Linked DNA regions of Rattus norvegicus. The protein of the gene in region 1 purifies or fractionates together with the protein of each later gene. This does not show direct contact. Links are inferred from orthologs where the notes say so. Each region holds a gene or a part of one and is shown on either strand. Other genes may lie near its edges.

The links.
Region 2: the proteins of Nedd4 (region 1) and Laptm4a purify together in Homo sapiens (affinity purification with western blotting; 3 studies listed by BioGRID). This does not show direct contact. The link is inferred for Rattus norvegicus from reciprocal best matches to the Homo sapiens genes NEDD4 and LAPTM4A.
Region 3: the proteins of Nedd4 (region 1) and Laptm5 purify together in Homo sapiens (affinity purification with western blotting; 3 studies listed by BioGRID and IntAct, with this or other methods). This does not show direct contact. The link is inferred for Rattus norvegicus from reciprocal best matches to the Homo sapiens genes NEDD4 and LAPTM5.

Annotation. Positions count from the first base shown.
Region 1 is NC_086026.1:82,341,278-82,344,795, forward strand, and holds part of Nedd4 (E3 ubiquitin-protein ligase NEDD4), read left to right. Parts: intron 1-538; coding exon 539-598; intron 599-1,338; coding exon 1,339-1,446; intron 1,447-2,222; coding exon 2,223-2,319; intron 2,320-3,518. UniProt on the Homo sapiens protein: E3 ubiquitin-protein ligase which accepts ubiquitin from an E2 ubiquitin-conjugating enzyme in the form of a thioester and then directly transfers the ubiquitin to targeted substrates. Specifically ubiquitinates 'Lys-63' in target proteins.
Region 2 is NC_086024.1:37,451,985-37,455,502, reverse strand, and holds part of Laptm4a (lysosomal-associated transmembrane protein 4A), read right to left. Parts: intron 3,062-3,518; coding exon 2,985-3,061; intron 2,899-2,984; coding exon 2,776-2,898; intron 1,656-2,775; coding exon 1,560-1,655; intron 1,156-1,559; coding exon 1,057-1,155; intron 1-1,056. UniProt on the Homo sapiens protein: May function in the transport of nucleosides and/or nucleoside derivatives between the cytosol and the lumen of an intracellular membrane-bound compartment.
Region 3 is NC_086023.1:148,385,362-148,388,879, reverse strand, and holds part of Laptm5 (lysosomal-associated transmembrane protein 5), read right to left. Parts: intron 1,949-3,518; coding exon 1,823-1,948; intron 1,230-1,822; coding exon 1,107-1,229; intron 1-1,106. UniProt on the Homo sapiens protein: May have a special functional role during embryogenesis and in adult hematopoietic cells.

The sequences.
Region 1 (3,518 bases):
GGACAGAGGGCACAGTGAGACTAAGCTGGGGACTAGAGGAGCAGAAAAGAGCTATGAGCAAGTAGCTGTGCCTGTGGTGAGAATGAGTGTCTTCAGTCCTGAGTGGGGCTGACGAGGAAAACGCAGGAAATTAACAAAGGTGCAGTTGACTCACGATTGGGGACTTAGGCAGGATTACTGCAGGTCCCAGGCCAGGACAGGATTCAGTAGGTGAAGGAGAGGAGGAGGAGGGAGCAACAGAAGGGGTGAGGCCCGCTGAGGGGGCTCACCTCCTGCAGTGGGCCTGGCCAGGATGGGGGATGGGCTTCTGTCTGCCTCAGTCTCCTCAGTACGTGTAGAAGGAATGAAGAGGGAGGAGGGAGGATTTAACATAGCCACTTTGAGAAATAAAGACAGGACGGCCACATTAAGATCACAGTGAAGGGTTGTTCATGAAAGTATGCTGGCAAGATCTGTGTAGGAGTGAGTGTTCCATCCACAAGATGCTTGAGCGTGCCAAGCCTGCTAACCAGCTTTGGGCACATTCCTTTCCTTCTAGGGATTTTTTGAACTGATACCACAGGATCTGATCAAGATATTCGATGAAAATGAACTAGAGGTAACAACTGTTTGTGCTGTGCTTGGGAATGTAGTTCAGTGTTGAGCAGTCATGCAGGCCCTGAGTTCAGTCCTCAGTGCCACTGGTGTGGAGGCGAGGGCATGGAGGAGTGGGGAGGAAGGGAGAGTATGGCAGTTTGTGGAGAGAAAGTGGGGAGGAGGAGGGAGGGTGTGAAGCCGTGGGCGCCATCCGCAGCACGGTGTAGAAGGGTGTGGTGGTACATACCCATTAGCCAGCACTCGAGGGGTGGGAGCAAGACCAGTAGTTCATGTCATCCACAGCTACATTGTTTGAAACTAACCTGGGCTACAGGGACCCTGTCTTTAAAAAGAGAACTGGAGGGCCCACAAGATGGGAAAAGCACCCTCCACCAAGCCTGACAGCCCGAGTTTGACACCTAGAGTGGAGATGGACTCCCACAAGCTATCGCTAACTTCCTCACTCACAACATGACATAGACATGCTGCAATACATATAAACATGCAATAGAACAGGGCAGCAAAGAAAATGTTCTGTGTTAAAACAGCTTTGGCTGGATGTAGCGATGCATTCTTCCATTCCCAGCACTGAGGGACAGAGGCAGGTGACCCTCTGAATATGAAGCCAGCCAGGTCTATACAATGAATTATAGAACATCCAGAGTTATGTAGTAAGACCCTGACTCAGGAGAGGAAAAAACCCAGAGCTTTGCACCGGTTTTCCCTGCTCACAGTTCTGACTGCGTGTCTGTCTGTCTGCAGCTTCTCATGTGTGGTCTGGGAGATGTGGACGTGAACGACTGGAGGGAACATACAAAATACAAAAATGGATACAGCTTAAACCACCAGGTCATCCACTGGTTCTGGAAGGTAATCTGAGGTTCAGTCATACTACGCCACCTGTAGAGTGACTCTCAGAGTGTGTCGCACTCTGAAAAGTGCACCAGCAAAGCAGACAGGCCTCTAATTTTGCATAAATGCCTTTGAATGTGAGTCTACCCTTCTTGATATCCAGAGGTAAGTACGGAAGGCATTCAGAATCGTAGGAAATGAGCTGAAATAAGCACATCAGTTTTCACCAGTGTGAGGACTGTCTCGAAGAACTTGTAACATGGCTCTTCTAAATTCTTAGATATGTGACTTTTAGTAATATGTAATTATTGTAAAGGTTTTTTTTTTAAGTGTGTGTGTATACGTGGTTACATGAGTTTATGTCACATGTGTACAATACTAGTAGAAGCCAAAAGGTGTAAGATCCCCTGGACGTACAGACAATTGTGAACCAACATGTGCATGCTGGGAACTAAACCCAGGCCATCTGCAGGAGCCGTGAGCATTCTTCACTGCTGAGGCCCTCTCCATTTCTGAGGGAAAAGCCTTAGAAATAAGTTTTTTGAGAATAAGAACAAAACCTTAGTGATTATTCTCTAAACTCTAATGACTTTTGTTTTTCGAGATAAGGGTTCTCTGTGTAGCCCTGGCTATCATACTAGAACTCATTTTGTAGATCAGGCTGGCTCTGAACTCAGCGATCCACCTGCCACCACCACTGCGGGGTGGGGCTTGGGGTGTCAAATGGTTTTTCCAAGACAGTTTCTCTGTTATTTTCAGTACTCTTCTCTAGCAGAAGTCTTTCTGTTTTTCAGGCTGTTTTGATGATGGATTCAGAAAAAAGAATACGCTTACTTCAGTTTGTTACTGGCACATCCCGTGTGCCTATGAATGGATTTGCTGAACTCTATGGTAAGAGTCCTGTGTAGATTCTCAGAAGTGCACAGAAGCTGACTGTTATTTTCATAGCTGAAGAGTCTTTAAGTTTCTACCATTTCAAGTCTAGTTTAACTTTTAAAAATTTAGTTGAAGGCTTGGGAGACAACTTGATTGGTAGAGTGCCAGCCTAGACCAATTGGCAAGCTGCAGGTAGGTAAGAGACCCTGCCCTAAAAAGAAGTGGATGATGTCACTACCTTCTGTCACTACTACTATCTTGGATAGTGACCAAGAACCTGGCATGTGGCTGAGTTACTTTTCGCCGTTGAGCATTGAGCTGCGTTCTGTAGTCCCAGAAACAGCAGCACCTCTAGCCCAGTTCCTTCCTTCCCAAGCTTCCTAACGCTACAACCCTTTAATGCAGTTCCATGTGTCATGCTGACTTTCGTTGCTACTTTATAACTGTAATCTTGCTACTATTATGCATCATAATATAAACCTTTGTTTTCCAGAGGTCTTAGGTGACCCCTATAATGGGGTCGTTGCAACCCACAGGTTGAGAACCACTGCTCTAGCATACTGGGTGGAGACAGCAGTGAAACAGCGTTAGCTGACATCTATGCCATAGTAGCCTTGGAGGATACATAGACTACACTAAAGAAAGTCTAATTCCCTCTTACCCAAGGACTCTCTTCCTGCTGCTTCAGCTACCACAGACATTCAGTCCACAAATCCTAAAGGGCATTTCAATAAAGAGCAGAGAGCGTAGTCACACGCCTGATGTGAGGTGTGCATATATGCACACCTCCAGCAAACACAGATTAGGAAGAACTCAACGATTTCTTAGGAACTTGTTAAAAAAATAAAGTTAAATTAAGAGTAAGTTTTCCCAAGCTTTCTTGAGCAGAGAGTCCTTTTGTGATTTGGTGTGAGGTGTGGGTAAAGCTTCATTCTTGTGGAAGATGGGGGGATCCCAGATAAGATCACACATAGCTCCCACTCTCCTTTCCTTTTATTTTTCATTTTAGTTTATATGTAATCGTGTTTTCCCTACATTTATGTCTTTGTACCATGTGCTTGCCAACGGAGGCTAGAAGAGGATGTCAGATCCCCCAGTGCTACAGTTATGGGAGGTTGTGAGCCACACAGTGTGGGCTCCTAGCAGCTGAGCTCTCTCCAGCCCCAGGACTAAAAGTTATAGTGGGATCTGATCATAGAGGACAAAATATAGAA
Region 2 (3,518 bases), on another chromosome or scaffold:
ACTGAGCAGCTTCAACTCAGTGACACCCTAACTCAAGATCAAGATCGCCACAACTGTATGGCTAGGTGGGTGGGAGGACGGACGGACGGACGGACGGACGGATGGGACAGATAGACAGATGGACGGACAGACAGATGGACGGACAGACAGATGGATGGATGGATGGGACAGATAGACAGATGGACGGACAGACAGACGGACGGATGGACGGACGGACGGATGGATGGATGGACGGATGGATGGGAATGGGTAGACAGATGGGAATGGATGAATAGATGAGTGTGATGGATAGAAGACAATTAGAATTCTTCCTCTGAACTAACCTGGAAGATAAACTAACACACTAACCCACATATATTTAAAAAATATAAAGGGTTTCTCTCTTGACAGTCAATCAATAAAGTTCCAGTGCTAATATTTCAAGAACTGAGGATCTAGGGGGAAAGGCCCCACTAACTGCTCTAGAGAAAGCTGCCAGTGTCTGTAGTTTCATAATAATTTGTACTGAAAGGACAATGACCTCCTATCCTGCTCTTTGGGATAATAGAAAGCCTTTTTAAAGCTCACTCTAGCCTAAGGTCCTATCCTCCAAGTGACAGGCTGGCTCATGGGCCATGTTTACTCTATATGCTGAAAATCTGCGAAGATAGCAAAGCAGCAAACAGGGTTCTAAGAGAAGGGCTCGGCACTCAGATGCCATCACAATCATCTCCCCAAGGCCCAGGCTTTGGATCTTACAAGTGGGCACGCGCGCACACACACACACACCCATTAGCCCTCATCCCTTAGAATTCTCACAAGCCAATTATTGATATTCCTAGCTTGTATCTGTCCAGAAACACTTGTGGGGACCACAGTCAATCTGGGCAAACAGTGCAGAGAGCTCTAGACCTGTGTGCACAAGATTCCTGGAAAATGCTAAATCTTATACATTTGTGGGTTCAAGCTATTCAAATTCCAAACCACAGTTATAGCAACGACTGGAAAGTCAAGCCCCACATTCACTTCTGGAGGCAGCAGTAGGAGTGACAGTTTGGTGAGTGAACAGCAGCTAACCTGTGGAGGTGCTTCAAAGGCAGGATACACGGCAATCTCTGGCACATTTCTATTGTTGATGTATTTGTAGCAGTTCCAAACACAATTGATTAGGTAAGCCTGAAAGGAGAAACAGTTCAGCAGGTTGCTCTGGGAACAGAGGACCATCATCTCTTCTGCACTGTCTGTACAAAAGGAACCTAGTCAAGCCAGGCTCACTCCTGACTGGCTCTCATTTAAACATCACAAGTTTCTCACAGAGACTCTAGCTGGAGATTCAGGTCTGCTAATCAACAGGCTGTGAGGAAATCCTGCGCTCAAATGTTAGGAATTTTAATGGATTTCCCTATAAACCATGAGCCACTTTTGAAAACACAAAGGGGACCCACCCCTTAAATGCAGTGACACCGACACTACAAATCCTCCATCAACTATGTGTATGTGTATGGATACAGACACAAGACTGGAAAAAGGTTGACTGAGCAGTTTCACCAGGCCCCAAGAGTGAATTGGAAACTCCTTACCTTAAAAATGATGAATACCACAAAGAACACAAGTACAATGAACAGAAGGCAGCTGGAGTCCAATGCCAGGAGGTCATCTTTGTAGGGGAAATCAGGCTGTTAAAACACAAAAGCACTGACAATTACACCACAGCCTTCTGCTTCTGAAAATCTAGGGAGCATTTTAAGAACACAACAAAGGGCAACAGTCAAGAGTGAAAGGCTACTGCAAATTCACACAAAGAATGCAGCACATCCAAGACCCTTATCATCAACAGACTAATCACTCCCGTCTGCTTGTTTAATAGCTGAGATAACTAGAAGGTCTGAATAGAGCTAATATTCATTTTGCTGGCTAGTATTTTTCATCTTTGTGCTTTTGACAAAATATAACCACTTGTACAGCACCCCAACCCTGTCCTGGTTCAGAAAGTCAGGAGGAATTGAGATTGCTCAAGTCTCTAGGAGCACAGTCTTCCACAAAGAAAAGTAACTTTTCTAGGAGTCAAATGTTGATCTCAACTCTTCATTAGATGATAGTTAAAAAGAACACATGCCACTGTCTACAAGCCAGGTAGAAGGACATAATTTACTGCTCACAGACTCACTGTGCTGGAAAAGATCGGCTGCACTCATCTGACTCTGGACAAGTCAGGAGAAAGGCATTAGAAGGGAAGGGAGTGTTTAAAACTGGCCAGCAGAAGAAATACCTTCTAATGGAAAGAACACCAATCAAACAGAGGGGAAAAAACCACCAGAGTCTGTAAGAGAGCAAGTTTTCCTAAACAGCTAACATTTCCTACACAGGGCTAGAATACAGTAGGCACCCCAACAACATGGTAGGACTAGAACAGAGTGGGCACAGACATAGGGCTAGGGTACAGTGGGCACAGACACAGGACTAGCCTATACCTGTATACAGCAGGTATACAGATACAGGCTAGCATTCTGTTAAAGATCAAACACCAATCCCTTAGGAATCTCAAATACAGTCGAATATTTTATTAAAACACAATTAACTCAACTATCTCTTCTACACTATCTTTACGGACTTAGTACTCTGCTGTCCAAATGGTATGGTACAACAATCATTTATTTCTATCTTACAGGTCTTAACATAGGTGTGATTTTAAGATACTGTACAAAGCAAAGAGTTAAAAATAGTACCAAGGCTACCTTTAGATTTCAATTAAAATGTTTTACTTAAGTGGAAATGTTAAATAGCAAACACTCTTACCAACTGATCCAGATATTCTTTGATTCTTGGCAAGTAAGTGAGAGAACTGATGGCTACCAGACAACTGAGAACGAAGTCAAAAAGTCGGTAGCAGAAGAAAGGAATCAGCCAGCCCACTTGATACTGTAGAAGGAGAGTAACATCAGTATATGTACAAAATCACTACTTGCTACAGGTCAAATGGAGAGAGGAAAACATGGCAGACTTACAGAAATGGCTCCATAAACCAGCATTGAACTGATTATAAACATAAGAACAGAGACGGCAAAAAGAACGCAGGCATTATCTAAGAAAACAAAACAGAAATCTAATTAAGCAACATATGCAATGAAAGAAACTAAATTCTTGACAAAATGACGCTTTAAAATGTTTCTGTGTAAATTAACTGTAATTGTTTTCAAAATTGGACCTCGTTAGATCTAAGACCAAGAAAAGCACCTAAGCCTGACAGTAAGAAATTCTGAGAAGGGGCTGGGGATTTAGCTCAGTGGTAGAGCGCTTACCTAGGAAGCGCAAGGCCCTGGGTTCGGCCCCCAGCTCCGAAAAAAAGAACCAAAAAAAAAAAAAAAAAAAAAAAAAAAAAAAAATTCTGAGAAGCTTACGCATGCCTTTCCGTGTCCAACAACTCACTGACTCTGTGAGGACGGAACCAGAGCCATGCAAACACAGGAAACAGGCCCCTGGGCCTCTACATGTCTATGTGCAAAGAGACAAATCTAACAGGCAAGTTGCAACACATACAG
Region 3 (3,518 bases), on another chromosome or scaffold:
ATATGCATACATACTCGTGCACACTCACACGCATGAACACACACACACACACACACACACACACACACATACATATACTCCACCTTGGCAACTCCCAACTCAGGAGCCTCAGGGGAAGAAGTATATAGCTGGTGCCTCCCAGTCTGAGAAGGCTTTGGTTGCTAGGAGCCACCTAGTCCTCTAACTCCTGGCAGGTTACACCCACCGCCACCAGGGTAGCTCCAGCCAAGACTAACTTTTGGGGTACCAGGTGTGAGATGCATCACCTCTGGGCAAGGAGCAGATACATCCACACATGCTATCTGCCTGTCTGTTTTTCAAAACAGTCTTGCTACCCAAGACTGGTCCCAGATTCACAGCAATCCTCTTGCCTCAGCCTCGCAGGTGTTGGGGTTACAGGCAAGCAGCACCAAGCCTAGCTCCCCTTCTTCTGAAATAAATAGCACTGGCCTCTTCCCTGGAGGTTGGGCCAGAATCATTCAGGGACTGATGTGAGCTTTCAGGAGCAGCCAACCAGAGGCCAAAATGAAGATTTCATTCTTGGTGCCTCCTTTTCTCCTTCCCAATCCCTCCGCTGGGGAAAGCCAGCAGCCATGCCCTGAGGACACTCTGCCCTACCTAAAGTCCTCACCATGAGGAGCTGGGTAAAGAAGGTACAAACACTGTACACACAAGTACCCCTGGGGGAGCAGGTCACCCATCCCCTTCCTAGCTGCTATGCTGAACCAGCAACTGAACCACCTAGCAAGCCACCCAATGCTGCTGTCCCTCAAGCTGCGAGAGGACCTGGTCATTTTAAGCCACCATGCGTGGCCATAGTGGGTTAGACAGGAGCAGACACGGGATGCCATTCCTATAATGTAGTTCCCAGGGCAGGATGCTGTGAAGCTCAACATGGCCAGACCGCCTTTGACCCTAGAAGCTTCTCTCTGACAGTTACTCCCCGAATCCATCACACACAATATTAGAGGCTGAGGCCTTGTTAGAGTCTTCCGGGTCTTCCTCCCCAGAAACCCAACCTCCATCCATGACCTGCCCAGCCTGGGGGATGCCTCGCCCCAGGCCACACAGCCAAGGTGTGACCTGGTCCTCCTCCCTAGACTCACCATGTGGTTCATGGACTTGAAGTTAAGGTAGGTGGGCACTTCCATATAGGAGCTGCACAGGGTCAGGATGCTCAAACAGAAGTCCAGCAGCTGCAGTGTCATCAAGGGTACCTTAGAAGGACCCTAAGGTGGACCAAGAGGAAGCATGAAGACCCACAAGCAGGTTCCGAGTGGCCCTTCCTTGGAAGGGTCTCCACCCAAGCCCCCAGCCATTCCCCCATTGACTATGCTCAGTGAAAGGAACACGGGATGTTCATGTCTGCAGAGCTGGGACCACAACACGGGTCTTCTAACTCCCCAGTATCCCCACCTTCCAGCAGTCCCATCCTTCAAGGACCAGAGTCGGGACTATGAAAGGCAACCATGGTAGAGCTGTGTGTATTGTAACCAGCTAAGGCCACCACACTTTTCCTCAGTGGATGGTCTTCGTTTCTTGGTCTTGACTATCCATTCATCTTGCTCGATTCCAAAGAAGGAATCAAGTTAAGGATGAGGCCTGAGAAGGCACCCGGCCCTTCTCCCTGAGTAACCCACTCACGCCCAGTGTAAATAGACATCTTACCATGCCACTTTCACAGAGTCCTAAGGCTTACCCATGAGGTACACTGACAGGCACACCATGCAGAGGAGAGAGCCTGAGGGCATTTGGCAGGGATTAGGGGACCCCGCTGAAGGATATCAAGGACCCAGGTCAAGCCATGCACATGAGTACTCACGGGCCGGGGCCGGGCAAACTTCAGGTATGCTGGTAATTCGATGTAGGAGCCCAACAGTGTGAGCAGGCACAGCAGGAAGTCCATGATTTGAAGGGACAGGAAGGGTATCAGGTACTTCTCCCGGTTCTAGAAGGCAAGTCCACCCTGTCAGGGTGCCCCTGACTGCCAGCACTCCACAGTGCTATCCCTGTCCCCATGCATCCTGTTCCCACCCTGGCTGTTAATGATGCTACCAGATCAGTGACTAGGGCCTGCCCAGATCCATGCACCTTCCCATGAAGGGCACCCTGGGGAGAGGGGCATCCAGGTGTCTCAGGAGACACCAGAAAACAGGCTTCCAATACAGGGATTCTGTTTCTGTCTGTCTGACCTTATGTCTTTTGACTTTTTTCAAGACAGGATCCCATGTATTCCAGGTTGGCCTCAAATTACCTGTGTAGCCAGGTATGACCTTGAACTGTAAAGTCCCCTGCCTCTACCTGTAGAGTGCCTAGGTTGCCGGTGTGCACCGCCCTGCCTTATCTGTGCAGTTCTGAGGACTGAACCTTGTGCGAGCTGGGCAAGCACTCGCTAATCGAGCTCAGCAAGAGGGAAAGGATGTGAACTAGGGGGCATGGTTATAGGTAACTCGGGGTGTCCTCAGCACTTATCCACCACCCCCTTTTCTCCTCTCCTTCCTGGCTACCATGAACTGAGCAGCTTTGCCAAACACACGCCACTTTCTCCCCACTGTGGTGTCCCGCCTCATCTCACAGCCAAGGAAAGCCAGCAAGCAGCACACCGTGGGCTAGAAACAAGAGCCAAAGCGAATCCTCCTAGATGATTCTCTTGAGTATTGTCATCCCAGCAGTGGAAGCTGAACGACAGACTCTGAGGGCGGAACCCACAAGGTAGAGTATGATGTCCACTCTACAGAGAAGGGGACCAGAGAGGACATCCTGGAAGGGACACCCAGCTAGATCCAGAATTTGACAGGTAAGGGGACTGGCCCGGAGAAGGAGGCACCAGCAAGTAAAGGCCCAGGGACAAGAGCCTGTCCTTCCTCCAGGTGGTCAAAGCCAGATGTGACAGGACATGGAAAGAGGACTCAGGAAGTCAGTCAGTGTCTCTCTCCCTGGTAGGAACCCCGCATCCATCCACATAAGCCCCTACTGAGGCAAAGTCACAGAAAAGGTGGTATCCTGGAGGGGGGTGTCTCATGGTTATCTAAGCCATTCAGAGGTGACCAAGACACGCTGTCTGGGGCTCCCTGCTCTGCCTTTTTAGCTGGACACTGAATTTCTGCAGCAGCCCCACAGCCACACCACTGTGAGGACACACTCCAGGTGGTGAAGCTCCCAGATACAACAAGGGTGGCCAGGGAGTGAGACACTCCGGGCCAGCATTCAGCCTCCACCTCTCAACGCAACCAGCACTCCACCATCTGCAGGGCCGGGGTCTCTCCACATGGTCAAGGGGCAAGGTCAACTTCCTATCTCCTTGGGGACCATGGAGCAAATGGCTCCTCTTTTGTAGGAAGTAGAGCCACAGGGTGACTCAATCCCCACATCCCCCCAAGTCACCCCAACTCTATCTGGGTCCGTCTGCCTTTCTTAGTACAGTCTCACATTCCCAGGGTTTCATGAGTGAATGTCGCACTGCAGTGGGTGCAGGGCAAGGGGAGGCCTTTGTCCCTGAGGACAAGCCCAGTACTACA